Linked DNA regions of Mus musculus: all the other regions are reported to be linked to region 2. The links are microRNA targets in miRTarBase. Many come from high-throughput screens and were not tested one by one. Region 2 holds a microRNA gene; each other region holds the end of a gene's coding sequence.

Region 1 (7,772 bases), not on the chromosome of region 2:
TTCTTTCTGCTGCTGCCTGCAAGGTCATAGCAGGCCCCAGAACCCATCTCTCATCTCTCCTCCATCCGCCCCAACTGCCAGTCGTCACCCGAGCGGCTCTGGCACAGTCTGAAGCTCCTCTGTCCCCCTGTACTTGTGGCTTTGGAAGGCTTGTGTTGCTGCTTGCCACCAGTGCTTGAGACCCTGCCCTTCATGTCATGTTGGAAGGTGCCCTGTTTCAAGCTTTCTCTTGGGATCTTCTGATGACAGAAAGGAGTTTGTGTTTCTTGGAGGCGTATCTGTCCCTCACTGTGGACAGATGTTTGGAAGGAGACATTATGAAAAGGTCACATCTAGTAGGCTTCATTGAGGATGCTGGGGTTCAGGTCCATGTTGGCTTGGCTAGATTTCAGGGGGGAGATTCTCTGGTTGTTCTTTGATAATCTGCCAAGCTTGTGAGTGTGTGTGGCACTTGGTGTTGGGAGCGTGCAAGGACTCAAGCTGTGTGTAGCTTGGTGAAAGCTGCTCTGAGGAGCTGGCACCTTTACTTATTTTAAATACACATATTGCTCTCTGCACCCAGCTAAGATGCTGGGCTGTGCCTGGCTGGGTCCTGAGTGGCCCAGTTAGAGTCAGGAACAATTTGGGTTGAGCGGCCTGGGTTGGATCGTAGCTCAGCTGCTGCCTTTGTCTCTCAGGGAATTGTGCAGGCTGTGCCGCTACGTTCTCCGTGCTGAAGAAGAGGGTGAGTCTGCTGCTGTTTGCCGGGGCAGTGTGCTGTGACTGGGGCTGATGCACGACTTGAGGAGAGTCAGCAATGGAGTCTAAGCCCTCATTCGAGTCATAGGACCAGTGCCCTCTGTTTGCTAAGGCCCACACCCTTATCAGCCTTCTGTTGGCTGTTTTGTCCTGTCTCATCCCACCCACTGAGGCCCCTCTTCTGTTGTATAAAATTGGAGGGAGCACTGGGGTGTCAGGTGCCTGAGGGTGGGCTCCATCTGACACTGTTGTTCCCGTCTACAGCGGAGCTGCAGCAACTGTGGGAACAGCTTCTGCTCGCGGTGTTGCTCCTTCAAGGTGCCCAGGTCCTCTATGGGAGCCACAGGTGAGCGAGGAGGCCAGAGAGGCGGCCTGTGGGAAGGACTGAGGCTGCCCTGCATAGAGCAAGACAGCTCCCGAGACTCCTCTTTCCTCCCAGAGGAGACCACCTGGTTGAATCTTATTTCATTACCCCAGGTCCACTTTTAACAGAATCAAAGGAATTTCTCTTCCTTTCCTAAATGCTGTGTATGTTTGTTGTAAATGAAACCTGTAGATGAGCAAAAGGAAGTCCTCCCCTGCCCCTGTGTTCCTGACAGGCAGAAGGGAGCATGGATGTGCACATGTAGGAAGCATGAGCGTGCACATACAGGAGCGTGGATGTGTATTTGTGCTCTTGACAACTGCGGTGATATCTTACTTCCTGCCCTGTGATGTGCTGCAGTGTGGGGCAAGGCTTTTTGCCAATCTTACAAGTAGCACATGCTTGTTAACTATAAAGTTTTGAGGTTATTATAAAGAAGAAAGGAAGAGAAAAATGATCCTGTAATCTTACCACCCAGAGATTTTTTAACCACTGTTAAAACGTTTAGGGAAAATTTCCTCTGGTATTTTATTTTGTTGATGCCAGAAGAATTTCCAATGCATAGAACACCTGGGAGAGGCCTGCTGTTGGCGTCAGAGCCACAGTGCCCCAGCGTGTCTGAGGGAGGGAGCTGGGTCAGGGAGGGTGTGGGCCGGGCCGTGGGTGGTCTGTCTCAGGACTGGGGAGGCTAATTCAGTACTTGGCACCTTGAGCCTAAAGGGTACAAAGAACTGTCTCACTGAGTTTTTCTTTCTTTCCAGCTCCTGAAGCCCAGAGAGAGACTGTGTGTGTGTGCGCCTCCTGCAATCAGACCCTGAGCAAATGAGAAGAGAAGCCAGGCTCCAACTGTCCTGGGGCCAGCAGTGACCCTACTGTCCCAACTCTGGGCCTCTGAGGCCTGTGCTGGGCAAACGTAGCCTGACAGCTAGGTCCTTCCTGCCCTTCCCCTGCTGCCTCCAGCTGGGCTGGTGATGCTCTAAGGCCCAGGGGGAGAGGAGCCCCTGGGGTCCCGGCTCTTGGTTCTGCTCTATCCTATACCCTGTTAACTCAGGGCTAGCGAGGGAGTGTCCACCAGAGGGCAGAATTGAGCACAGCCTGCTCTCATCTGGGCTCTGGTCGTCAAGGTCAGGCTGGCTAGACCTTAGGATCCAAGAGACTTGAGGTTGGAAAAGAGGTTCTTCCCTGTTGGGTACTTGTCAGTCTCTCAGCCCCAGAGAGCCTGCGAGGGGACTTAGAGCTCCATGGCCTGCCTTTGCCTTTTGAATAGCCTCAGGACTGGCGTTCCCAGGTGTCCCAAGGAGAGGGAAGGTGAGGGTGCTGCTCAAGTCCTTCAGTGTCAAGTGGATGGCAGGATGGGGAAGCTCTGCTTACAGAATCTTAACTCCCATGGTTCTCTGGTGTCCTCAGCCCTGCTGGGGTGGCTACAGGACCCTCACATCACTCTTCCATCCTGCTCTGAGTCTAGGGCACCCCACCTTTCTCCCACTGCCACATATCTCTAGCCCTTATCTCATGGAACATGCGGCCAGGTGAGTGGAGCAGAGAGACTGCAAGCCTTTGAGGTCCAGGGACGTGTAGGACTGCCCGGATTTCAGGGCTGTTCCTGGAGTAGAGATAGCATTGTAGGATAGGGTCAGTCACATGGCCAGTTTTATGTTCCCTCTGACCTGCCAAGGGTGCTGTGCCTCTTCTTAAGCCATGAGCTGGCTCAGGCCCCTTCCCCTGGAGCTTTTTCAGAGTATTTATTTATTTATTTCATGGTTCCTGAGAGCACGCAGCACAGGGTAGGATGAAGAAGACAAGGGGCTTCTGCCTGAGACCCTTCTGCAGTCATGGACTGCCCTTGGAGCTGATCTTCAGGAACTGTTTCTGCTGCCCAGTCATGGGTGTGGTGCCCACACCTGAACCATTTGAGGTCCTCCTTGCTGATAGGCCACACACACACAGCAGTAGAGCACTGAGGGTTTGGCAGTGGGGACCAAGCAGGTGAGGTGTACTCCTTTGTCCTGGTGAGAGATGCTCACCTCTGCGTATTTATACTGTAGAGCAGTAGACAGGAACGCTGTGGAGAATTGTCAATAAAAGGCCCCATGCTTATGGTTTTGTCAGGTCTCCTAGTGCTGTTCAGGTCTTTCATGTTGCCCAGGGTGGGCTGTAGGTGGGCTTTGCACACCTCCTGTGGCAATTCGTGAGCCAGCCAGGCCCAGTGGAAAGCTGTGCCTTATCAACAGGAGGGGTGGGCTTTATCTTGTGACCAGACCCACGGTCTTGGATTGAGGTTGGGACCAGAACTTAACTATAAATAATGCAGGCTTCAGAATGGAAAGGTTTTAGCTAATCCTCTGGGAAAGACAGAAAGGCCAGCGCTGCAGGAGGCTGAGAGCTGGTAAGCAGGTTTCTGGTGGGGTGAGGTGCAAGTTGGCCCTGTGATCAGGCTAGGCTGGAGCTGGGCACTGCACACATTATGTTAGCGCTGGCACCAAGCTCATGAGGTAGGCTCTGTTTTCCACATGGTAAGGCCGGCAGTGCACAGCAGCAGCACTGTGAGCCAGCTCTGAGCTCAGCCCCACCTACCAAGGACCCATGTGCTATCATCCTGTAGCCTTTAGAAAGAATGCACATCTGTCCTGTGTCCTTATAGCAAAAGCCACTGCTGCCTCCTCTTCCTCCTCTCCCTCCTCTTCTTCCACCACCTCCTTCAACAAAGAATGATTTTAACTTTTTTTTTTTTTTTTTTTTTTTAAGGTATCAGGCCATCTTATTGAAAGGTGACTGTGTAGCCGGGCGTGGTAGCGCATGCCTTTAATCCCAGGATTTGGGAGGCAGAGGCAGGCGGATTTCTGAGTTCAAGGTCAGCCTGGTCTACAAAGTGAGTTCCAGGACAGCCAGGGCTACAGAGAAACCCTGTCTTGAAAAACCGAAAAACAAAACAAAGCAAAAGGTGACTGTCACTGCTGAAAAAGGCTGGCTGTAGTCACAGATGTGAGACAGGGGGCTTGCCTTTTTTGTTTCCTGGAGGTCCCTGTGAGAACAGGTGGGGAGGCTGTCTTCAGATGCAGGTTCCTCTTAAGAGAGCAGAGCTAACAGGGTTCAGCAAGGTTGGTGATGGTGTCACCATGGAGCCTGTGGTACAGAGATCTCAATGTGGAATGATAGACAGCTTGCACGTTGTAGAATTGGATGTCTGTGTCAAAATACACCTTCCAATTTGCTGGTACCCAGGAACAGAGACAGAGAGCCAGGTTGTGTTAGAGTCCTGGCATGTGGCAGGGCAGGTTTGGAACTCTGGCATCTAGCCTGACTTGGGCTCAGGTCTGTTGAGTCTTTTGTGGTCTAGTATGTGGATGTCTTCAGAAGGTCTTGGCAGACCTGGAATAGGTGATGATTTTGGGGTGTTTTCTGTAGCCCCTGGGGCTGAAGCCAAATGAATCTCCTTTTTCAGAGATCTGTGTCTCTTCTCACAGCTGGCCCTGTTCACAGGTCATCCTGCCAGGGACTATACCTAGCCAGTAGCTCATGTCTTACAGTGTCACAGTTTGTCTAGTTCTTGGATATTCTAAATAGGTAAATAGAGGTACTGGGGTGGGGGGTGTTAAGTTCCCCACCCAAAGTGGAGTGGGAAACACTTGTGTTACAAGTGTTCATAGCAGCTATGGTCTAAGAAGCCTTGGGTAAAGGCCATGTTCTGGTCCCCACTCTCTAAGGAGCTAGCCACTGAGCTAACAGACTGGTCTGCCCCACCCCCACCCTCTTAGCACCATCCCCCTTCAGTCTCTACCAGAACAGAAGTGGCCTTGTGGCTGGAGCCCCCACCTTCCCTAGCTCCCAGTGACCCCACCTCCTGCCAGCAACACCCCAGCAGCACATTCCATTCTCTGGCACTGCTGGTGGCTGGGGATTCCGGGCTCCTTTGGCGGTGAGCCTTCTTTGGGGCTCCAGCAGAGGCTGTTTGGGCTGGGACACTAGGCTCCAGCCACACACATTCCAGCAACAAACACCCCCCACATTAGATTTCCCAAGGAGTGAACTTTAGCCAGGATTACAGATGGCTGCACAGTTGTGGGATGTGAGCTTGCTTTGTGCAGACCTGAGGCTGGATGCTAGTAGGGGTGAAAAGGAATGGGTGGGAGCGGCAGGCTTCTCTGCTGCTGCCTGGGCTCTTGTAGCATCACGGAAGCAGCTGAAGGCAGCCTTTGAGATTGCCTGTCCCGTCCTATCTCACCTCTGTAGAAGGTGGTAATAGTCCTCAGACTTTTAAGCTGTAGGCTGTGATTCCGTGTGGTATCCCGTAACTGCATGTGAGGATTGGGAAAAGTTTGGTGACAGTAAAAGGCTATCAGACACCGAGCAACTAAAAAACAATTCAAAACCAAACTTGAAAATCAGTTGGAGGTGTTTGTGGAGTCCTGTCCTGAGCATCGCAGTCTTGGTTCTGAACACACAACAGGCACCCTGTGCCCTCTGCCTCCCCTCCTGCCACACAGCCAGTGAACACTCCTTGAATCACACAGATGTGAGACCACTGCATATTGTGAACTGCAGTGTTTTTACTGTCCAGTCAGCTCCTGCTTTTACAGGAACACAATGGCTTACAGAAAATAAGGACATACTATTGCCCTGCTTGCATGTAAATATCAAAAAAGTACATCTTTGCATCACATTATATTGGAATACTTGATTTTAAAAATTAATGTTTGTGGACTAGTGAGATGACTCATTAGGTAAGTCCTGGTCACATGGGCTGGACCCCTGAATTTGATCCCTGGAACCTGTGTTAAAAAGCCTGATGTGTTGCGTCTGTAGTCTCAGTGTTCCTATAGCAAGATGGGAAGAGACAAGAGGATTGCTCTGGAGTGTGCAGGAGGCTGGCATAAACCGGAGACTGCCTCAAGAAGATTGAAGGACAGAAGCAGTTCCTCTGGCATCTACACTGTAGCACAAGTAATAACAAAAATTAAAAAAGAAGTGGAAACGGCTGACTTCAGTTTCATAAATTTTTTTTTTTCAGTGAACTTTGACTTGGATCAGGGATCAGGATAGAATTTCAAACAATTTATGAAATGTCTCTAAACATACTTCTGCCATTTTGTACTCTCTGTGTGTCTATATGCAGAACAGCATTCTTTATTTTTTAATTTAAATTTAATTTTTTTGTTTTTTGAGACAGGGTTTCTCTGTGGAGCCCTAGCTGTCCTGGCACTCACTCTGTAGACCAGGCTGGCCTGGAATTCAAAAGATCCACCTGCCTCTGCCTCCCGAGTGCTGGGCATAAAGGTGTGCACCACCAATGCATGCCACAGAACAGCATTCTCAGCACTGGAGATTATAAAGTCAAAACTGATCATCTGTAAGAACTGAGTGCTGTGCATCCTATGCTATCAACCACTCAGCCAAGGTTTAATCCCTGTGTAAATACAAACACATCTGTGCATTACTGTGCAGGTTTGCTTTCATCCTTACGTGGTGTGTGTATGCCCAAGGGTTATTTTGAAATAGATTTATGGCTAAATGTTTGATTTATATAATATATGGATTTTACGTATCTATGCCTGGAAGCAAGTAAGCGTTTCTTGGGTGGAAGGTTGTAAGTGGGAGGGGTTAAGAAGTCCTGGGTGGTGGTTAAGAGTTTGGGGACAAATGGAGCATCACCATTTATGTTGTGCAGCTTGGTCAAGAACCTTAATGTCTTTGAGCTGTTACTAAAATGCACCACCTCTGGCTCGGTGTGGTGGCACACACCTTTAATCATAGCACTTAGGGGTAGAAGCAGGTGACTCTCTGAGTTTTTAGCCATTCTGGTCTACATAGTGTGGTTAGCCACTTAGGGCTACACTGTGAGATCCTATCTCAAAATGGCAGCTGTAAAGCTTAAATTAGAATTCCAAAGTGCTTTTGAGTAGTGTCTGCTATTTGCCCTGGCATGGGTTTATATGCTACCTAGGGGCCTAATTCTGAAGCAAGCAAAACCCCAGATGTAGTCTCCATACTTCTGGCCTTTAGGTAAGACGTCCCGGCTTTTCCCTGCCCTCTTGTCAGTCATGTATCTCAGTTGAGTGAAGAATCAGGTATTTTGCTGGGTACCTACTGTGTGTGGGCATTGTTGTGTTAGCGACAATACAAATAACCACCATTGGCCACCTAAGCTCTGCATTATGTCCAGGTCCTTGTCGCACACTCGGCAGCACTGCCATGTACCCAGTGTTGCCTGGCTACTAATTCATAGGACCAGAGGCCAGAACTACATTGCCTCTTCTCACCCCCACCCCGAGTGTGAGGTTCCTTGCTCCCAAGTCACTCCTGTTTTCTATGAGAATTTTTATGTTTTTTATGTTCAGGTGAAAACTTGATTTCCTCCGCTCTCTCGAAGGGAGGGGGTGGTCATGTGATTTAGTCCTAGCCTGGAGCTGGAATGGAAGCCGACCAGATTGTCCTGCTGGCCTGCTGCTTACCTGCTCAGGAGGGGTGGGGACTCCTGAGCTGTAGCTGTAGGCCTTGCTGTCAGGAATTGGGAAGAGGTACTATCTTGTAGTCAAGAACTGCAGACATCTGGAGCCTGGCGCATCCCCAACACATAGCTCCCTACCTCTAGACCTTCCGTGTGGAGAGGTCCCCATGTACCATGGAATGCATTTCCACTCCTGTGATCAGAGGTCAGCCTTCACTGGTTTCT
Region 2 (7,772 bases):
CATGTCTACACCTACCAAGAATGACTCTCCTGGAACTGATTTTAGGAACAGAGTGGGTGGATCCAGAAGACCCAACCGTCATTGCAGAAACTGAGTTACTGGGAGCTGCAGCATCCATTGAAGCCGCTGCCAAGAAGTTAGAGCAGCTGAAGCCAAGAGCAAAGCCAAAGGTCAGTGTTCACTGGCGGCCGCTCATCCCCTGCGTCCTGCATCCAGCGGTGACTGTGCAGTGGAGCTAAGCAGGGTACACAGAGTTTCTCCTCCCTCCCCATCCTTACACCAGGAAGTCGCACCCGGTCTGCCTGCCCAGCACCATTTTACATAGTGGGGGAGGGGGGCGGGTGAAAACCAGTGAGTGGGTCTAGTTAACTGCCAAGAAGAGTACCTCTGGTTATTCCGAGGAGAAACAGGACATCCACATGGAATTCCACCATGGAAAGCAAGTTGTGGATAGTTTCTGTCAAAGGCTCCTGTTAGTAGATAGGAGACTGACAGCCTTCAGTTCATCAGTTTCTACTGCACCTTTGATACAGAAAGAACAATGCTGGGTATCTTGTTTTCTTAGAAACAACAGGCCTGGAAAATGGCTCAGTCAGTAAACTGCTTACTGGGGCGAGCACGAAGACCCGAGTATGGATTTCCCAGCACCCACATAAAAAGCACACGCGGTAGTGTGCGCCTTTACAGCTCTGAGGAAATAAAAAACAAAAACAACAACAACAACAACAAAAAATCAACCAAAAACAATATGGTGCTTGCAGTGGGTAGAAAGATGGCTCAGTGAAGAGCACTTGCTTTTGCCATTCCAGAGGACCCAAGTTCAATTCCTAGCGCCCACAGCAGCTGGTTCACAACCATCTGTAACACCATCTTCAAGGAATCCCACATCCTCTCTGACTCCATGGATACTCTACACACACACACACCATCTTCAAGGAATCCCACATCCTCTCTGACTCCATGGATACTCTACACACACACACACACGTGCACACAAAGTTATATATATGGAAGTATCGTAGAGAAGCAATTGAGGGAAATACTTGGCATGGACCTCTGGCTTCCACCTGTGCATCCACACACAAATAGAGAATAATGCACATCTCAAAGAGAAACCCAGCACTAGGCTGTTTCAGTGTGTACAGGAGCCCGTGGCTGGCTAGTGTAGTTTTCATAAGAGAAGTAGCCAAGAAGATAGATTCTTTTCTATGGGGCAGTAGGAGCTGGCCCATCTTCAGGGTCAGGCTCAGCCTTAGTAAGCAGCTGCGGTTCCTACCCCACACTTCAGCCACCTTTAGGAAGATGTCAGAAGGAGGAGGTTTCATTTTCTTCCTACCTATGCAAGTCTTTATGGGTATCTATATTCACCTCCCAGGGACCCACATACATTGGGAAAGGAACTTTGGCTATTTGTATGCCCGCCCCAAAAAAGTTAGACCCCCAGTTTAGGTCTGCCTAAATTTCTACCTATTTTTGTCAAATTGAAAGATGGTGTCTGGAGGTTTGAAATACAACAATCAGTGCCAAGGCAGTGTTGAGGACATGTATGCAGCAGACAGGAGGCTAATGAATCTGTTAAGGCTGGAGGCTTCTTAAAGTCGTCAAGGCTTCAGACCTATCTCCTAAGCACTGGCCTTGATGGCAGGCACATTTCAGATTTTCCTCATCAAGGCATAATTTGAGATTTTTGACCTCTGACTTTTGTGTTTGCTGGGGTTTCGTTCCTGGTGCCCTGGGGCTCTTGGATCATCTGATACTGTCAGAGTTTAAGATCTGACAGTCCGGTCAGGGACAACTGCATTTTCGGGTTAGGTTTTTGTTTCTGCTTTGCAAGTCAAGTTAATAGAACTTGAGAAGTATACTTTAAAGGTGAATCTTAAAAATAAGGTTGTGCCGGGCGGTGGTGGCGCACGCCTTTGATCCCAGCACTCGGGAGGCAGAGGCAGGCGGATTTCTGAGTTCGAGGTCAGCCTGGTCTACAAAGTGAGTTCCAGGACAGCCAGGGCTACACAGAGAAACCCTGTCTCAAACCCCCCCCTTCCAAAAAAAAAATATATATATATATATAAAAGGTTGTGAGGTTTGCAGCTTAATCTGCGTGTCTTATGCTTGTCTAGTCTATCCCAAGAGGCCTTTTCACAGGGGATGACTCTGTGTTTTGGTCAGTTGACACCTGCAATCTGTGAATGGGCCTGCTGCTCGTGTATCACCCATATTCCACTATTTTCCAGCATCCCCTGGCCTCCACCCTGTCCTTCTCTAGGGTCCTCCTCAGCTCTTGTCTGTTTTTCTCTGACTGGTTGCTCATTTGCGTCAACATTCTTGATTTGGAAAACAGACTTACTGGGATCTCCTTCATCCTGCAGGATTGTTCTTATAGCATAAGTCGATAACGTAAGAACATGGTGCCTGACTAGTAAATGGTAATGCTATCACCTCTGTCACCATCACTATGACCAGACATATGCTTTCTGACACCTTCATTTTTCATCTTTGTGTGGAAGATAAGGTCTTTCATGGATCCCTAGTTGGGTAAGAGGGCGGGCGACAGGGCTACCGTAAATACAAGACACGGTCCAGACCAGTCTCCTAAGTATTTTATCTGGTCCTCACCACTGTCAGACCGTGTGATTGAGTGGGGAGGGAACATAGAGCTGGGGTCCCAGTTTCTGAACACTGTACTCCCTCTGATACCCCATTGGCAGAGAAAATGATTCCCGTCCCTCAGGACCACTGCACTTTATAGTGTCTTAGGCTGTTAGACTTGTCTCCAGTTCCTTTCCTAAGGAAAAAAACCCAGACTTGTGTGAGAGGGATGTTCTAGAAGCTTGGTTGGTAGCAGTAAGAAGTTGGGGTCTTCTTGAAGGGAAATGATGAGGCTGTTACAGTAATGAAGAGTAATGGTTGCCAGACTGTACAGCGTGAAGATGCTTATGGAATGAGTAAAATGGGGAGAAATGATAACACCTAGGCATCCATGGTTAGTGCTTATGTCACAAAGCTGGGAACTAACGGAGATGATCAGCAAAGAACAGCTAAGACTTGAAATGGGACCAGGGAACGGCAGGCTCTGTGTTTTACAGTTCTGGAAAACAATGTTTGAAAACCACACACATTGAAAATGAGGGGGGCTGGAGAGAGGGCTCAGCGGTTAAGAGCACTGACTGCTCTCCCAGAGGTCCCGAGTTCAATTCCCAACAACCACATGGTGGCTCACAACCATCTGTGATGGGATCCGATGCCCTCTTCTGGTGTGTCTGAAGAGAGTGCCAGTGTACTCACTTAAAATAAATAAGTAAATCTTAAGAAAAGAAAATGAGGGATGGTTGCCGGAGGCGGCCTGTGTGGACCCCTTATGTGTACACTGCTAGGCATTATCCATGAAAGTGTCTCAAAGCAGCTTATCATCCCAAAGCATGTAGCCCCGGGCTTGCAAGGAGGGCCGTCCACCGTGGGAAACTTCTTGCACAATGCATAACATCCTCCTGACAGTTACAAAAGAACTTTTCCTCGGCTTAAAAGAAAAAAAATTACCGAAACAGCAAAACCAGCTAATATTTGAGGTTACTTTTCTCCATCCTGTCCTGTAACCTTAAAGACAAAAATCCTCAGGGTGCCATAAATGGCAGCTGCTCCTGCATACTTGCCATAGTGACTGTGGCCACCCACCCCCATACCACGTGAATGAGGTTATCCTCCACCCAGGCAGAGCACCTGTGCTGCTTGGAGGACTAGTTTGGGGAGGGAGGGAGGGAGGGTGATGACTTCCAGCTGTTTTGATTACCTGGTTCTCAGGTTACCTGTTTTAAAAGGAGACTAGTCTGTGGCATGTGAAGATGGTTCTGGTGTAGTTCCACCCTTGGGCCCTGACCATGGAAGCACCTCCCTTTACCTGTAATCTCTCAGACGTGAGTGACAGACAGGTGCACAGACTCCCTTTTCATTTGGGGAAAGGAGCCCAGGCTCAGAGTGTGTGCCACCAGCATTGTTGCTAATGGCATCCTTGCCACACCTACAGACACGCCTGTGTTCCAAGGCAGGCTGGGAGATACTGCAGAGGTGACTGACTCCCACAGCCATATTCTCAAGCTCAGTCAAACCTGGATGCCTTTTCTGCAGGCCTCTGTGTGATATGTTTGATATATTAGGTTGTTATTTAATCCAACTATATATCAAGCATATTCCTACAGTGTCTTGCCCTGTCTCCGGGGGTCCTAACAAAGTTTAGAAGCAACAGGAAAAAATATATTAAAAAATCACAAGTAGGTTTAGATGACAGAGTGCGTATGTTGTTATGTTTCATTCCATTTCTTCGTGTAGCCTTTAAGACCTGTGTCTTAGTTACCTTTCTGTTGCTGTGACAGGATGCCCCAACCAAAAGCAACTTAAGGCAAAAGGGTGTATTATGGCTTAGTTTATCAGGGGCCAGACCATCAAAGAGGGAAGGCCGGCAGTCAGGAAGTAGAGAGATAGGACAGCAGATGGAGCCAGGCCATAAAACCTCAAAGGCCAGTATGTCCTTCAGCAAGGCTTTGTGAATTCCTAAAGCTTCCATAGCCAAATGGCACTGCCAGCTGAAGACCAAATGTTCAGACACACTAACTTATTATGGATGGGGGATGCTTTGTTTCAGACCACAACAAACTGTATCAATACTACTACATTATCTGTTTGTTGTGGAAAGGGAGTATAGCTCCTGAAGGCTTAAGATATTTTCTAAAGTTTAGTTGAATGCAATTAGGAGTCCTTAAGAAAAGTATTCAGTGGAAAAAGATGGAAGATAACAACCCGTGTCTTTGATATAGGACAAAGGTTAGGATTGTAACTGGCAAACACATTGATCTAGATATTTCTTCCTGACAACTCTCAACACACTCTCACAGATTAAATTTTGTAATTGTTTTCCATGCCAAAAAAAAAATCGGGACATTTATTATCTCTAACTTTCCGCTTCTGGTAACAAATCTAAACCCTGGTGACTGTGCTCACTTTACGGATGGTGAGCCCGTAAACCTTAATTGCAGACCTTAATTTGGATCAGATATGTCTGATGAAGAGAACATGCTCGGGACTGTGCTCTGTCGGTTGAGTTTTCTGTTGTAGGTGAACTTCTGCACAGAGGTTGTTAATATTTAGAAGAACCCGGCAGTCCGAAAGTAAACAAATACTCTAATTGGCTGCCGCAGGAAGTTGGGCTATGACCCAGAAAGCATTCTTTCGGGTATATATCAGCCTCTCTGGCTGCTTTGACTTCTTCCCATAAATGAGTCCGTGAACTGTATGTGAGTTTACTCTGAGCTGTCTAGCACAGAGACTATATAAGTACTTTTCCTGGAAATAGCATGGCTATGCTCCCAGGCCTTGTTGGTTTTACCTTAGGAGGAAACAACTCTTGATGGCACTCCTAACTGTGGATGAGCAAGACCTCTTACCCTACAGGGGCAGGAGAGTAGTTTGACGGGGGTCGTCAGAAAAGGAACTTGGGAATATGTAGAAGCCACCATTGGTGAACGAGTAGTTTTTTTAAGCATCGCTCTAAAAGGTCTTTCGGATGAAGACACTTGCCAGAAGTGGTGAGATTTGGGATGGGGGGTAACTCTGCTGCTGTCTGGCATTCCCATGTGGCTGATTCATATTCTGAGTGGGAGTGGGAACGGGCACACAGGTGTTCTGTGACATGGGAAAGCAAACATGTTTTCTGCATGGCTAAGCTACAGGCTTGGAGCTCACATGCCAGACCTTGGTCCCAGACAAGCAGAGAGTGTATTGCCAGGTGGTTCTCTACCAGGACCTTGTTAGGTCCTTAGATGCATAGAAGGCTCATACCAGAGATTCCTAAGATGAACCAAACTGTATCTCATTGAATAATGGAAAGGCTTCTATTGTCCATACTTCCTATATCAAGGTCCAAGTGACCCCTTCTTCCCCTTTTTGAGAGTATGACAGAATTCTAAAGAATTTATTTTCATCAGAGACTAATTATAAGATCAACTCAGTGGTATTACTTTTTATATTGAATATAAGTTACAAAAAATGTAATAAAGCAATTGTATTATATGGGGAAAAACTATTCCCAAGATACTAACTGTGCAGGCTTGGGGCTTTTCCAATGGATGCTACATGAACCTATTCCTTTATTATCTATCTGGATGTGAAGGTGGTGCGTATCCAGCTACTAACATGACTTGCTCAGCAGTGGTTTCTCTGTGTCACCCTGAGCTTCCCCTGAGACCAGGCCTCTGTGAAGGGTACCAGCTGTTCTGGGAGATTTGCCTTTTGTTAGCTTTATTAAGGATGAAGGAGGTCTTAGAGCCAGCCAACCCACTGGTCCTTCAGAGCACAAGTTGATGTAGCCATGGTATGCTTTGGCCAAGACTTTCTCCCCAAAGCATCTCTCAAGTCAAAACCAGAAGCTAGGCAGGAGCAGCCAGGTTCTGCACAAGAAAGGAAAACATGGCCACCTGTTCCACTCAAGCATCCAACTGTCAGGAAAAGACCTCCTGCACGTTGTGGGAGTCCTAGGTATTGGCCCCCGTTTTTCCCTTGAGGACATTTAACTTACATATAACACATTTACACTTTTAAAAAACTCCACTGGACTTCTGACTTCTGAATGCGACCTTCTTGTAGTAGTGGCCATTCAGTAAGAGACTAACACAGAAGGTGGCAAGATGTGAAATGATGGAAGGGCGAGAAACAGCTTGAATAGCTCTTTGGTACATGTAGCTGCTTGCGTGGAGAAGAGTCATGGTACTTTTTAGCTCTCAAAAAGTCTGGTCTGGGCTGGTGAGGTAGCTCAGTGGATAAAAGTGGCTTGCTTTGCAAGCCTAGCAAGTTGAATTCAATCCCCAGATCCCACAGTGGAAGGAGAGAAAGCTGGCCTGCAACCTCCATATGTGTACCATGACACGTGTATCCACACACATGTACACATACACAGTAATAATAATAAGTAATCGCTTGTAAAAGTCTGGTCTGTATGGACTGGAGATAGAGCTGCTCACTTGATAGAGTATTTGCCTAACATACATGAGGTCCTGGGTTCAGTCTCCAGCCCCCATACACCTGGCATGCTAGTACATGCCTCTAATTCAAGAGACAAGAGGATCAGAAGTACAAGGCCATCTTCTACATGCATAATTAGAGGCCAGCCTGAGACACTGTCACAAGAAAAATTGGGGGTACAGGGAGGAGGGAGAAAAGTATTTTATGGACATTTTCTAAGCCTGAGGCAGAAGTTAGGGCTACTCCTGGGTAAAGGGTCTCAGGGACATAATTCACAAAGTGAATGAGAAGGAGGACTACGGAGCCAGATGCCCTCCCGCCCATACTTGCCCAGGGGACATCAAAGAAGGTGGGTAGGTCACTAAAGACATCAGGAAGGAGGTAGGACTCCTGAGGGTAGAAAAGAGAATGCACTAACTGCTTAATTTCAGTAAACATCTTAGAAAGTTTTAATGTGAAATGGAGACATGTCTAAGCTAGAGGCCAAAGAGAATTGATGAACTGCTCCTCGGGGAAGGGTGGTGCAGGCCTGGAAGTGGCGTGCAAGGCAGTATGGAACAGTGACAGTGTCTGAGTTATCCACTGCCTGGGCCAGTGCTGAGGGAGAAGCCAAAAACAGTGCCTGTCCATATCACGTGTCCCTTGAAGCCTGCTTTGGTCTTTGCATGTAATATGGGATCCGTGTGTACGTGCTTTGTGTAAAGAACCTAAAACGCAATGTTTAAAATATGAGGAACCTGGAAGTGTAGCTCAGTGGTAGAGTTTGC
Region 3 (7,772 bases), not on the chromosome of region 2:
TCTTAAAAAAATAAAATAAAAGCAATCTACGGATGTGGCTCAGTAAGCAGGTAGTCAGAGCCCACAGCACCACATAAAACAGATGAAACAGCAAGTGAGCTAACAAGTATAAACTGGCTGAGGATGGAGCCCTGTGGGACAACACTTGACAAGTATGCAGACAGAGTTCAGACCCTAGCACCCCCTGTGACAAAAGAAGTGATCAATATTCAGATTGTATTACAAAATGGTGGTTTGAATTCACAATTCTATGATTTTAACAGGGAAGTTGTTGAAAGGAAAAAGAAAGTTGGGTTGTTTGGTCATTTTAGAAAGCCCAAAATAGCATGTGGAGGGTTGAAATAGGATTGTGAGTTCAAGCCTGAGCTACATAATGAAGTTGTCTCAAAAACTTACTGTTATAGGGCACCTTGGATCTCAGGGGAGGAGTCAGAGTCAATATGGTTCATCCACTGTATGAAATTCTCCAGGAATTAATGAAAAATGTTAATTCAATATGATTCCAATTCAAAGATGGTCCCTAATTTATAATAGTCCAGTAGTACATACAAAAGCATATCCATAGAGCCACCCTGCTTTTCATTTTCAGATGGTAGTCAGTAAATTATGAGTGATACTAAGAAATAAGTAACAAAAGGAAGCAATGCACAAAGCCATCTCCTAATTAAACTTCCGTTCATTTTTTTAAAAAAAATTTTACTAATTTTTTGTTTCATGTATATTGATTGATGTTTTGCCTACATGTGTGTCTCTGTAAGGGTGTCCAATCATCTGGAACTGGAGTTACAGACAGTTGTGAGCTGCCATGTGGGTGCTGAGAAGCAAACCCAGTCCTCTGAATTCTCCAGAAGAGTAGTGGTGCTCTTAACTGCTGAGCCAGCTCTCTAACACCCCCTCCCCTTCATTCTTATTCTAACATAATCTTAATTATTTTGAACAGTTGTATATCAAAATTTGGGGGGCAGGGAGAGGGCTATTGAGAAATAAACAGAACTTGCAAAATGGCAGCTGACAGATGAGACTGTAGGCAGAGCAGACTGCAAGGCACTCACTAGAGTCACTCACTACAGCTGCTCAAAAGGCTCTTGGGGTCTCGCAGCTATAATTTCTTTTTTGGTGAAGAAAGCTCTAACTTTTGGTACATGTGCTCTGATTAGAAAGTTATGAGTAAGCTATTTGTAGAGAACTTCCTGGAAATGCATATTGAGATTGGGGAGAATTTATATTCTCTCTTATTTTCTAATTTTTTTCATGATGAGTGTAGATTACCTTTATAGTTTGAAAAGATGATGGTGGTTTTTAAGAGTGTCACCTGTAGCTTAGGCTGTTTTGAAACTATGGAGATAGGAATGACCTTAAACTAGGACCTCACAGGCACATAAAACCCCATAAGACCAGCTAAGATGAGGGTTTTTGTCTTTGTTTTTATAAGACTTATTTATTTTTATTTATATGAGTACACTGTAGCTGTCTTTAGACACACACTAGAAGAGTGCATTGGATCCCATTACATATGATTGTGAGCCACCATGTGGTTGCTGGGAATTGAACTCAGGACCTCTGGAAGAGCAGTCAGTGCTCTTAACTGCTGAGCCATCTCTCCAGTCCATAAGATAATGCACAGCACTAGCTCTTCAGTGCTGTGAGTTCCTAACATTTTGCTAGCTCTGTCTGTCTATTTCCCCGGTACCTGTCAGAAGTGACTCTGTTCTGTTTGAAAGTTGGAGATGATTGGTGTTTCTTTGAGATGGGGTTTCATGTAGCCCAGGTAGACCTCAAGTTTTCTATGTGGTCCAGGCTGGTCTTGAACTTCTAATCCTTTTGCCTCAGGCTCCCTAGAGCTGGGATTACAGGTGTGAGCCACTATGTCCAGCTAAGAATATTTGTTAAAATTAAATCTTACAAAGTAATGATAGACTATTTACACTTCAGCCATGTGGCTAAGGAACAGAGCACTGTTTAAGATAACAAGCACATATGGGATAATGAGAAAAGATTGCTGAAAAACTGGAGACACTTTGAAGCTGGCTCTTTGCAGCAACTTTGGAACTCTATTCTTGATACATATTATTTTGCTTGCAGATGATGAAGAACGAGAGCTTCAGATGGATCCTGCAGACTATGGCAAACAGCGCTTCAGTGATGTCCTTTAAGTCTAAGGGATTCCCGAAACCCAAAGTGCTGTGCAACAGATCATCTCTACTTGTCAATTTTGACTTTTGCTGTAAAGATCAGTTGTATCAGTTGTAAAGATACATTGAGATAGATTTAAGGAAATTTTAATGAAGGAATGTACCAATGTACATATGTGAACTTTTTCATATTATATTATCAAAGCAGATACTTTTTTTGGTTACTACACAGCTGGGCCAAAAACAGTTAATCTTTGCATTTTAAAGCAAACTAATGTAAATTTCACATTTTATTGAGCCTAATTTTTTTTTCACAAAGAGACAAACAGGAACAAATGGTTGTACAGGTTATATGCTGCACATAGTATAACCACAATGAGAACTTATTCGGCTGAAAAGTCCACATTACTACATTTTTGTTCCCCCATAGGTGTCCTCTACTACCCCTCAGTTAACACTCTTGAAGAAGTTCTGAATAGTTACACAGAAGTGGGGAGGCTGGATGCCAGACAGTGGGCAAATGTACAGAATGGCCTTCTACTCCTTTATCTTACATGGGCCCTGATGTGAGTGTGCTGAGGCCTGATGAAAAGCCTAGGTCACCGTTACATCCTTACCATATCTATCAGTAGTTCCTTACTTGGTTCTTGAAGTTGTGGAATGCATGGTTGACAGTGTATTTTTATTTTTCAAGTAATACCAGAACTGTTTAACTCTGGTCAGCACTGGCTAAAATTCTTTCTATTTTCAGAGCTCAAGCTGGTGAATACATTCACCAGTTAAGAGTCAGACCCTGAGAGAGACTGAATCCACTTTGAAATGAGTCTGCAATCAGTACAGCAAAGCTTTGCTGGTAGTTTTAATGATCGTATTTGATTAGACTTTTCCAGAACTACTAAGTAAGGGATTTTAACAGGTTTTTATTAATGAACAGATGAGTAGAAGTACCGTGAAGTCTGCAGCTATTTTATTGAAATAGCTGAAAACTTTGTAATAAAAAATGAGTATTTGTAATTAATGTTAGTTAAGAACCCACCAAGCTCATTTGCTAGACTTACAGAATTATTTTCAGTGCATTGTGTCTTTTGGCATTATTCATTAGGATATATAAGCTAGCTAATCCTTGTTTACTGATTTCAAGCACTTTTAATTTTTTTGTGTTCCCTAAAAATTAAAGGTGTTGATCATAAGGCTGTTAATCCCAAGGCTATTATTCCTTTTTTTTTTTTTAAGAAGGGCTGCTATTAATTACACATAAGCATGAACTACTAGAGAGTGACTGTAGCTCAGATGTGCAGAGGCCTGGGTTTGATTCAAACACTAAAAACAGCAGACAAGTAAGTAGACATGAAAAGTCCCCACACTAAGGCTCTAATCCAAATACTAACAGAAGTATTGTTCACCTGCTGACATCTGAAGTCCTTATAGTTCAGTCCAAAGTTATTTAATGGCCAGGAAAAGATGGAATAATTTATTAAAATTTGTTTTTTCTGCTATCTCAGATTATATACCACTGGGCATGTATCACAACTGCAATCCTAGTGTTGAGGAAACAGAAACAGGTGTGTCCCTGAGGCTCACTGAATAGCCATCCTGGCCTAATTAGCAAGTTCCAGGTCCCTGTAAGGGACAGTTGTTCCTGAGGAACATCTACACACACACACACACACACACACACACACACACACACACACACGCATATATAAACAAGTTGACCCTCTGGCTTCCACATACACTCATAAACACCTGTACCTACATGTGCACACATGTAACTGCACACGCACATACCCACACACCAAGAAACTAAACAGTTCATGATTTTGTTATCAGTAAAGCTAGGCCTCTGTAGTAAAAAGTATGGTTCACATTAAAATACAGTCAAAGGGGAGTGACATACAACCATGGGCATTAGAAAGGGGAGCTGAACCTACAAATGCCTAGTGATACTCCATACTTGATACTGTAGAACTGTACAGACAAAATCATAAAGATGCCTGTTGGTTCCTCTGTTATAAAAGCAGTCACTTGATTTTATGGTACCTATCTATCTTTATATGGAAAAAAACTTCAATTAGCAGCCTAGACATTTTATAAACTGAGGAATCTTGGACCAATTGATAATATTTCTGACTGTATTAACATTTTAGTGCTATAAAATACTATGTGAATCTCTTTAAATTGTGACATTCTACAGTCTGTATTAGACATGCTATTTTGTTCTGTTTACAGTGTTTTACTTCTGCCTTAAGATTTAGGGTTTTTTTTTTATTTTGTTATATTTTAATATATTTTGCCCTGAATTAAGTGTTAATTTGATGGGAACTCTGCTTTTAAAAAAATCATCACTTTCTGGGTTCTAATAAATTAAAAGTTAAACTTGTTTCACAGTTTTGATTATATATATATAATTACATGAATATAAACATTTACATCTTGACATTAAAACTTGAATAAATGTTATCATTTATTTTAAGGTAAATTGGACTAAAAGACTAGGGTTGGGCTGGTGAGATGGCTCAGTGGGTAAGAGCACCCGACTGCTCTTCCAAAGGTCCAGAGTTCAAATCCCAGCAACCACATGGTGGCTCACAACCATCCGTAATGAGATCTGATGCCCTCTTCTGGTGTGTCTGAAGACAGCTACAGTGTACTTACATATAATAAATAAATAAATCTTTAAAAAAAAAAAAAAAGACTAGGGTTGTTTACTGTAGAACCAACTTATTCTGTAAAGGTTGAAAGTCTTTTGTGTCCTTAGAATTAGTTGGTGGTAGTGAGATTGTAAATAAAATAGACAAGGTCTTTTCTAGAGGTTACATTAATGTGGAAGCAGTCAGCATGAAATGGATAAAATAGAGATAAAGTGGAGAAATGGGAAAGTGGGTGTGGGGTGACCTAACCCTGGGGAGGAGAGTTAAATATTACTAAGTACACATCAGACAGACAGACAGACCCTGGGCCTGATTTAGGTTTTTGAAACCTCAAAGCCTACCCTTAGTGACATCCCTCCTTCAACAGAGCCACACATCCTAAATAAGTACACTCTATGGTGACCAAGGATTCAAATCTATGAGCCTGTGGAGGCCATTCTCATTCAAACCACCACGTAGATGTATGTGTATGTACACATGCAAAGAGTTAGGTAGTAACAGAGGCAGAGATTGTTAAAAAGAACTTATACTACTGTGGGCAATAATGCTTCCTGAAAAAACCATTGACTACCTAACAAAAACTCTAATATCATGCCTGAGAAACCACCCTCTCAAGTTGTTGGGTAACAGACTTCAAGAGACGCAAAACAATATAAGCTGTGGCTGTTTTCCCTGGTTGTCTCTCATTGCTGAAGACATGATACATTTCAGACAGAACTTGGAGTAATCCAACTGGAGCTGATCTGGAAGTTTCTCTGAAGAGTTGCTCTCATAGGATCTGTGCTATGCAAGCTGTCAAGGAAGGGCAGCATTGGGTAGTCCTACCCAGCTGTAAAACCTATGAACCACAGCAGGCACTGGGCCAGCAACAGATCTACATTGGTAAAATAATAACAGATATCTTGGGGTTTACCATCAGCTTTCTAATATTGAAGGCTTGCTCAACAGGACAGAAATCATTCCAGGTCCTGTAAATCTAGTCATCTACCTGTGCGAGGTCACAGGCCTGAGGAAAACCTAAAACACTGTAATTCCAGTTAAGAGCACTGACTGCTCTTCTGAAGGTCTAGAGTTCAAATCCCAGCAACCACATGGTGGCTCTCAACTATCCGTAATGAGATCTGATGCCCTCTTCTGGGTGACTGAAGACAGCTACAGTGTACTTAGATATAATAATAAAGAAATCTTTTAAAAAAGCAACACTATAATTCGTAATTGCACTCCAAATACTTACCCTTACACCCACAGATGAGTTTAGCTATCATCAAAAGGAGCTTCTGTTTGCAGCAGGAGACCATTACAGAAAGTCACAACTAGTCAATTGCAGAGAACAAGACGCAGTCACAATGGAGACATCACAGCACAACTGCATTGGAAGTTCAGGTAATATCTCTGAAGAGAGAACAGAAAGACATAAGAGTCAGAGGACCAGATGGCTCAGCAGGTAAGAGCACTGACTACTCTTCCAAAGGCTTTAGGTCAAGTCCCAGCAACCACATGGTGGCTCACAACCATCTGTAATGAGATCTGACGCCCTCTTCTGGTACGTCTGAAGACAGCTACAGTGTACTTATGTATAATAATAAGTAAATCTTTAAAAAAAAAAAAAGTCAGAGGACCAGGAAGTCTGCTCTGAGATTGTAGCTATGTCAGGGAGCCACACCCTTGAAATCTCAACCACATGGCTGCCTAGACAAGACTTGAATAGGCAAGGCTTCAAGTGGGGGATAGGAATACCAACTCAGCCATAAAACTTTCCACACTTTCCACCTTCAGTTTGTCCTGCTGCAGAGTGTTCTGGGACCAGATGCTAGAAGGACTGTCATCAAAGTGACCAGTGAGACTTCATCCAGCAACTGATGAAATCAGATGCAGAGACCCACAGACAAACACTAGGTGGAGGTCAGGTTGTGCAGTGGAAAACCAGGAGGAAGGATCAGAGGAACCACAGGGCTCAGGGACACATCTCTAGAACACTGCACACAGAATCAACGGACTGGGACTCGGAGGGACTTGCAGAGATCAGGGAACCTGTATGGTTTTGACCTAGGTCCTCTGAATATATGCTATAGCTGAATAGCTTAGTGTTCATATGGGAATCCTACCAGTGGGAAGGGGTGCTGCCCTAAGTTTTGTCTACTTGTGGGACCGTTTTCTTCCTACTGGGCTGCCTTGATGTGATAGTATGTGCCTAGTCTCATTGTAGCTTCTTGTGCCGTGTTTGGTTGATGCCCCTGGGGCCTACTCTTTTTCTTTTTTTCTCAGGCAGGGTAGTAGGGGGTGGATCTGGGCGAGAGGGGAGGTAGGGGAAACTGTGACCAGGTAATATATGAGAGGTTTTTTTTTTTTTTTTTAAGACCTGAATAGAGCCGGGCAGTGGTGGCACACACCTTTAATCCCAGCATTTGGGAGGCAGAGGCAGGTGGATTTCTGAGTTCGAGGCCAGCCTGGTCTACAGAGTGAGTTCCAGGACAGCCAGGGCTGCTCACAGAAACCCTATCTTGAAAAACCAAAACCAACCAACACAACAACAACAACAAAAGAGACCTGAATAGTAATAATTGATAGCCTAATGCAGATGGGAGCAATCTCATGGGATGCCAACCCTAGATAAAGAACTATAAGCAGTTAACAACTGCTATGAATGGGAGAAATAGTGTCCCTAGGAATGGTCACCCTGGTAACTACCTGTACTGGCTAGTTTTGTGTCAACTTGACACAGCTGGAGTTACCACAGAGAAAGGAGCTTCAGTTGAGGAAATGCCTCCATGAGATCCAACTGTAAGGCATTTTCTCAATTAGTGACCAAGGGGGAAAGGCCCCTTGTGGGTGGGACCATCTCTGGGCTGGTAGTCTTGGGTTCTATAAGAGAGCAAGCCGAGCAAGCCAGATGAGGCAAGCCAGTAAAGAACATCCCTCCATGGCCTCTGCATCAGCTCCTGCTTCCTGACCTGCTTGAGTTCCAGTCCTGACTTCCTTGGTGATGAAC
Region 4 (7,467 bases), not on the chromosome of region 2:
TCGTATAGAAATCACCTGTAAAACTTTTTTTCTAGTAGAACTTGTATGTTTTTTGCAATGAAACTCCAAGTCTATTAGGTCATGTACTTTACATGTTCGAATAATTTAAAAACATTTGGTTGTCTGAGAATTCAGTAAACCAATTCAAATTTTGAAGTATTTTGATGTCATAATGAAAATATGACATTTCTAGCATTTTTTAAAGAAACATAATTTAAAATAATTAATATGCTATTTTAGTTACTATCCTTTTTTTAACATGTGGAAATTTTCCTTAAATGTTTCTTTTTGGGGCCATTCAACTAAAAAATTATATGTATGCAGTTGAGAATGTTCATGTCAAAATCTTATGTATCATAGAATTTGTCGAGTCTTAATCACAGCCTCCTAAACTTATTTTCATTGCTCGATTTCTGCATCACTGAACAATTTAATTTCTGTTTAATGAGTTTATATCGTCACATTTTTGAACTCTTCCCTTTTTTTAATTAAATCTTAAGGAAAGGTAAAGGGAGACTCTATTCTCTTGTAATCTATCATCAGCTGCTTCTGTGCCTAAGCCAACAGTTGACATGAAATATTTAGTCAAGTTGATGGATATTTCTAAGGGCAATTTCCTCACTAGAAAATGATCTCTGAGAATCTTTCTGTGATTCTGTCCATGGACTTCAGCTGTATAAATGGCTAGCAAGCTAAATTAATATTAATTTACTGATTTCTCGTAACAGTGAAGATTAAGTCTGCTTATTTTAGGAAACGCTCTATGTGGTTAGTGAGATCATCAGTGCCACCACCCCCACTTGCCTCCCAGTACTTTCTAATTTCAGTAGATGTTACCGCAGGCTTCATCACTAGGTTTGTGTAAATCCCTTCTATCGAGGAGTAGCCATTCTGATTTCAGTGATGTCAATGCAATCTTCCACACTATGTTTGTTTCTCTTCTATTGAATATTCACCCTTTGGCTTGTTTAAATTTTCAGCAATTCTTACGAGCTAAGCTGCCAGCCTAATAGCAATAGATGTCAGAGCTGAAATTTTTATGTATTCTAAATTTCTCTTATTTTCTCTTTTTTTTAATGACCAAAGGCATATATCTCAGTGGTAGAACATCACAGGATACACATACATATAATTGTCTAAGGTTTTAGAGATGAATTCATTTGTTTTCAAAATAGGCTACCCCTACTGTACACATACAAATCATGATAACAACAGAGATGAGATCAGGCACAGAGAGTGAGCTAGTGAGTGAATAGCTCACATTTAATATTGAACTCATGATTGTGGACAATCCAAAGTGTTATAACATGTTGCCATATCCTACCTATCAATAAGCTTCTGAGACTCGGGAAAGAAATTGATCAAATATGTGCAATTTTGATGGCTGCAAGAGAACCTAATAATTGCCTACCTTTGTTTTTTGTACTTAAAACTGAAAAAAAAAGTGCATTTAAAAATCTAAGAAAGATTGTGAAAAATAATTTTCAGGAAATGATAGTTTTCCCTAAATCATAGCTGAAGAGCAGCACCACTGTACAAGACACAACTAAGATTGAGGAACATCTTGGACTTTGAAATATAGTAACACCTACCAATATATTTAAGGAGAATCCAAGTGAGCTAAGGAAAGGCAATATCTCATGCCTGTATTGTTTGAGTATAGAATTACTTCTATTTAATAGACAGGACCCAGACTTCCAAAACTAGCAACATGTTTGAATTGTCTATGGACTCCTTAAAAATACAGACCTAGGTCATCCTATGTATTATGACGATCTTTCAAATGATGTAAATAATTCTTATGCCATTGATGTAGGAATTTCTCAAAGCAGATGTGAGTCAGAGAACCTCTGGGAGGCATAGGATTACTTTGTAGTAATGCCATGGTTTCTGTCTTCTTCCTTTATCGTTTTGTTTTGTTTTTTTGTTTGTTTGTTTTTGCTTTTCTTGTTTGTTTGTTTTTTTGTGGTTTTGTTTTGTTTCCTTAAATAAAAATGTTCCAATTACATGGAAAATGGACCAGCTGTCAGTATTATTAATAATTATCTCTGCAAACTCTAGATTACATGGCTTAGGAACAGTGCCTTGAGTAATGCTTTAAAACAGTAGTGGTATGGAATTTACTTTTAAATGAAAATATACCCAAAGTGTGTTAAATGAATGGAAATAAATTAGCCTTGAGTCAAAAGAATAAGTTTTCTAAATATAGTCAATCATATACACTCAAACTCTATATTCCTGTTGATGAAGGAACTCGACATGCTTCCACTGAATTCCTGAGTTTGCATCAATAAATAGTTTTAGATTATTATAGTAAGAATACATATAGTATAAAAAATGTGAATTGTTTTAGAATGGGGTTCAATATATGGTTGTTTTCTGTAGATAACTAAGTGTAAGAAACTGTATGTTGCAAGAGACCTAAGAGGAAGAAAAATATAAAGGAGAAAGATTCGTTAATTGAACACTTACTATATTGTAAGTTTCAGTAAAGAACCTGTTCTTTATTGTTCTAGAGAAAAGAAAGGGAATTTTATTTGGAGTACTAACTTTCAAAAATATTTTTGGATAGACAAGGGAACTCAAATATATGCACATATCAACTTAGGCCTCATATTATAAAGCAGTTGTGCTGAAGGAATTCTTACTAACAAGGTTATCCAGAGAGGTCAAGTGAGTTTCTCAAGGCTTCAATTTGTTGCAATGATAGTCTAGGGTAGACTTACTCATATTTCTAGTTCAACAGTGTGTCTACCATTTAGACTCTATTAACTGCTTATAAATATGGATGGATTGAATATTAATTACACAGGACCATACTTTGGATAGTAGCAGAGCTTAGCCATTTTCACAGTGCCATAAAGACTCCAGAAGAGAGATGCCCACAGCAAAAACCACTTGATTGAGATGATGTTTGCAGTATGTTCACTATACAACAAATCAAATTGGCAAGAATGAAGGGTAAATCTGTTTCTCTCCCCACAGTTTGGTAATACACATTTGCCTATCCTGATGCTTCATTTTTCAATTCTCTTTATGTCCTAATTTCATCTTTATTAGGTTAACAGTTGGTGAATGGTTAATATTAAAATAGAATTCTAAGAAGTTTCAAATCTAGTTTAATCTTTCATAATATTTATTTCTTTTGTTTTTTTTTAAACATATGATAAGAAGGACTTAACCTGTCTGTTCTCTGAATCTAGAAGCAATTTGAACAGAAGAGATTATCCCCATTTCGAATGAAGAAACTGTTATTTCGATTACATTAAATGTATCTTTCATGTCCACTAATTTCATTGAGGTAATTATTTACTAGGCAACCATTAATAACCCCTCCTGTATGAACAAATGCTTATCCTTTAGCTTCTGAAATCTCTTATATCTAGACCTTGATTGCAATTTTTAACAAACCTCCTTCTCTTGAGCTTTGAGTTGAGGGGAGCTGACATCATAAAGCATGAAATAAAAATGTGGAGAACTAAAATGTTTTGAAACATTAACTCACAAAAACGCTTTCTTGGTGAGTAGCAGCCATGAAGTCTACTCTGAAAAAAGTTCAATAAAAAAGAAAATCTGAGTAGCTTATTTCCTGTTTTTATTCATTCTTTATTTAATCTCCAATTAAAGACAAAAGTTTAAAGAGTGAGTGAATAATTCCTCAAGTATTCTGTCCATTTCTACCTCAACAGTTCTGGTTCAAGCTTTGTACACTCTAGGACTGAGCTTCTCACAGTAAATAGAAATCTTGTAAACTGATGCTGGTTTCCCAGTGAGAGTATCTTTTATACTTTCTACTTCATTAGGTGATGGCTGTCCTAAAATATATGGCTATCAAGATCTTCACTCTCTAAAATACAATGCAGCTAACTAGATAAGTCAGTATATTTCTCTTCAGTAAGGCTTAAAATAATTATTTTTGTATTCCTATTAATAAGGCCTGAACTAAATAGCAATTAAATACTCAGAGCACTGGTGATAAGGACTTTCTGCACTTTTAGGTGATAACTTGCTCATGATCTGTTTAGAGCCATCCTGGATCTCTAGGCATATTATCTGCTTTTATTATACCAGCAGCAAGCCAATTTGGTTGAATCAATCAATCTTTCATAAGAGATATGCTTACAGAAAGTATGAGTCACAGGATTTATTAACAGAGCAGCCAATAGCATATCTTGTCAGTGGTACATTTTCCACTCACACATAGTGAAGCTCATTCCTTCTGCTAAAGTTCAACAGCTAAAACAATATCAGAAAGAGTGTCAACATCTCAAATTCTGTTCAATATATTTCCAAAAACTAAAGTCCTCCCAGAACATACTAGCCTACAGGGACTAAATAATGCCAGAGGATATTCACATTTATAGGAATTGAGATATATTTGTACAATAAGGTATGGATAGGGCAGAGAGAAATGAGAGTCATAGCAATAGGATCCTTAAATTCTAATTTCTATCATCACTACGTGTGGGGTTGACATGCCTGTCTCTCAACATATCAGGAATAAATATGTCATAAATAAATAACGAGTTAGTTCACAGAAAAGAAGAGGTTGACTTATGAATATTGTTGTATATTCTAGTTAAAAAGCTCGCTCTAACTATGGACGTAAAGTTCAGACGTTCTGTGGCTTGGCATCAGGTTCTAAATATGTAGATGCACTTGTGAAATACTTAATACCTTGGCTTGGCTTACACTATTGGCATTTAATTGTACTTCCAGTCCAAGAATGAGCTCAAATTCATAGCCAACAAAAGAGGCAACTGCCTTCAGGTCTCTTAGCATCCAATATAGCAATGGTGGATGAAAGCAACATCAAATGCTTTCCAGCTTTCACTGAGAGCATATTCTAAATTTAGCAATCCATGCTTAGCTCTCTACCATTTTTGGATCAAAAAAATCATAAGTAAATGCATGAATTTGACTTTTAAGCAAATAAATATATGATTAGAGCCTTTATGAGAGTATCTATGTATATATATGATTTCTTGGTATACATGTAAAAACGATGTGTGGAAAAAAGATAATCTAGAGAAAAATATATGTTGGATCAAGTGAGTAGACAAAGCTTGCCATTCAAACACATGTTGAGTAGGTAAAGAATGGAGTAAATTTACTAGTATTGTTTAGTATTTTTTTTTTTTAACTAAGTCTCCATTGTCACCCTGCAGTGACAACACATTTTCATCTTTACCTCTGTGGCAGTTGGGGATCAACAATATCACCTGTGTAACTATGTCTTTAAAAAAATATGAGATCATACTCTTCGTTTAATTCTGTGGTCTTTCTTTGCTCAAATGATTCCATGCTAAGGGAGCTTATGTCTCATTGAGCACATACTTCCTGCTTGTCAAACTGAAATGAATCTTCTCTGTAGATGAGGAGAATTAGCCTGAGTTTGGCTAATTGCAATACATAATAGAGAAATATAAAGAGCCACAAAAGATCCAAATAAATGTCATCAGAACATTATTTTTTTTTCTGTAGGTTTTGAACAGAATAGAATGCAGGCTTTAGAAACACTTTGAAGAAAAATTTTCTGTCAGAGTCTTCAGAATCACATTTTTTCCCTAATCTATTGTATTTGCATATGCCCAGTTATCTCCTCTACACTTACAGAAGAGAATTTTGCAGGCAGATGAAAGTTCATAGATAACATGCTCCCAAATTCAGTGCAATAAATTTACATTGGTTGTGTAAAGCCCTGAATATAATAACAACATATTCTATGTATGGATATTATCTTAAATGGTATAAAAATGATAAATTTTAATTAATAGCTCTTGGCTAGAACTGTTCCTTTATCAAAAACAAAAATTTACCCATTACTTTTTTAATACTGATAATTTATTTAAAAAATACATATTGAAATCTTACTCTGTGTCAGCACTGTATTCCTTGTAGGTTCCCACTTTATTGTGTTTTGTGACATATCTGACCCATTGGTAAGAATTTTAAACTCTTTTAAATGATCAGATAGATCTTTCAAGTTTTACTTCTATTTATTAACAAATACAGTAAAATAAAACTTAAATATGGATGCTTTGGAAAAAATATTTCAAATGAATGAAGTAACTAGCGTTCTATAAATGGTATAATTTATACATTTATTTGTATTTGAAGATATCATTTTTTTATTGTTATAAGAGGAAATTATTTATTTTTAAAATAGTGGTTATCTTCATGATTTGAAAGGGAACTATCAAAAGATTCTCTTAGGTATTATTAGGGACTAAACCCACAAAACAAACAATCAAATCTCCCTAAAACCATATAAATTGTTTATCTGAAAATTCTTGTTTTCTTTAACTTAAAATATTGGGAATCTACATTTGCTAAACAACTTAATAAAAATGAATGTGAAGTCTAATAACATTTCTGCTTCATATCTTTCTTATTTGCTACATCAATTAGCTCCCCTTCACAAATGTGGTACAAGTAAAAACTCTATCAGTTGTCAGTAGTGTTCAACTTTGAAGTCAAAGAGATTAAGAATTAAGTGATTCAATAATTCTTCTTTGTTAGCATTATACAAGCTAGAATCTATACTTTATAATACTTGGCAAAAAGTCCCTCATATTTTAGGATATGTATTTTTATCTCCCAAATAGATTAAAGATCTGATTGATGTAGAAACAAGTAAATCATAAATTTACTTTACAGTCAACTATAAAATGTAAAAACAATGTTTATAAATGAGAGTGACAAATAAATTATTTCCAGTGCTCGTTATCACATATATACAGGATAATTTAAAACCAAATTGAGTGATTGCTAATTCTGATCTCTTAAAAATTTCACCAAAATATACATGGTCCTCAAGGGAGGGCAGGAAAATTAAACGGTGCCCCAAATGCAGCGTGTTTCTTCTTATCCTGAAAACTTGAATTATGTCTCATTAATCTTTTTCACTGTGACAATGATGGACACTTTAATTCCAAAACCATTTCTCTAAATTACCAACAGACTTATATTCTTGATGCCTTTTTACATGGTCGCATGCCAGGCATGCATGTGATTCCCAAAACCGTGGTAGGTTTACAGTAAAATCCTTTCTCCAGTTAAAGTAACTAAGGTACAACTTATTGTTTTTGTCAACTTCCTTCAGATATTTTGCTAACTCACTGGGAGAGTTAAAATCTTCCACATGAATGAATGAATCAGCTGGAATATAATTCTCATAGTTTTCCCTAGATGGACCCAGGACAACAGGTACTGAACCAGCCAAAAATGCATTGTAGAGCTTTTCTGTGATGTAATCTTTGTGAATTGAGTTTTCAAATGAAAGATAAAATTTACAAGTAGATATGGTGGGAATCAGATTTTTATCGTTCACGTATTCTCCGAATGCTTGGCCATAGGTGTGGATTTCAATACTCTTGCTGAGCTCGTTGTAATACTTGACCCTGGCATGCTCAGGGTTCCAGTTACTCACAACCCAGCACACCAACTTCTCCTTGCTTGGCACTT

What was found. The annotated mature microRNA mmu-miR-190a-5p reads UGAUAUGUUUGAUAUAUUAGGU and lies in region 2 at 4,129-4,150, shown strand. An mRNA with a match to its seed (bases 2 to 7 or 8) in the 3' UTR can be bound and repressed. Matches are read on the target gene's strand: a 7mer-m8 pairs with bases 2 to 8, a 7mer-A1 pairs with bases 2 to 7 and ends in A, and an 8mer does both.
Region 1: miRTarBase lists Zfyve27 as a target of mmu-miR-190a-5p. Seed matches in the 3' UTR shown: 7mer-m8 at 2,593-2,599.
Region 3: the mRNA of Golm2 is a reported target of mmu-miR-190a-5p. The part of its 3' UTR that is shown has no 7-base or 8-base seed match.
Region 4: the mRNA of Fut9 is a reported target of mmu-miR-190a-5p. Seed matches in the 3' UTR shown: 7mer-m8 at 6,583-6,589.

Annotation. Positions count from the first base shown.
Region 1 is chr19:42,188,520-42,196,291 of GRCm38, forward strand. Zfyve27 (zinc finger, FYVE domain containing 27) reads left to right here. Exons shown (of 13, transcript NM_177319.3): 11 at 678-724; 12 at 1,003-1,084; 13 at 1,864-6,074. The coding sequence ends at 1,928. Among named protein-coding and RNA genes, the nearest start is that of Sfrp5, 9.8 kb to the right of the region's middle.
Region 2 is chr9:67,233,078-67,240,849 of GRCm38, reverse strand. Mir190a (microRNA 190a) reads left to right here and starts at 4,124; the gene lies at 4,124-4,190. It overlaps Tln2 (talin 2), which reads left to right. Exons shown (of 58, transcript NM_001081242.2): 53 at 46-170.
Region 3 is chr2:121,931,396-121,939,167 of GRCm38, forward strand. Golm2 (golgi membrane protein 2) reads left to right here. Exons shown (of 10, transcript NM_001205369.1): 10 at 2,083-4,825. The coding sequence ends at 2,153. Gm39916 (a long non-coding RNA gene) reads right to left here. Exons shown (of 3, transcript XR_866673.2): 3 at 6,009-6,175. Among named protein-coding and RNA genes, the nearest start is that of Gm39916, 8.7 kb to the right of the region's middle.
Region 4 is chr4:25,612,805-25,620,271 of GRCm38, forward strand. It overlaps Fut9 (fucosyltransferase 9), which reads right to left. Exons shown (of 3, transcript NM_010243.3): 3 at 1-7,467. The coding sequence ends at 6,929. Among named protein-coding and RNA genes, the nearest start is that of Gm24977, 50 kb to the left of the region's middle.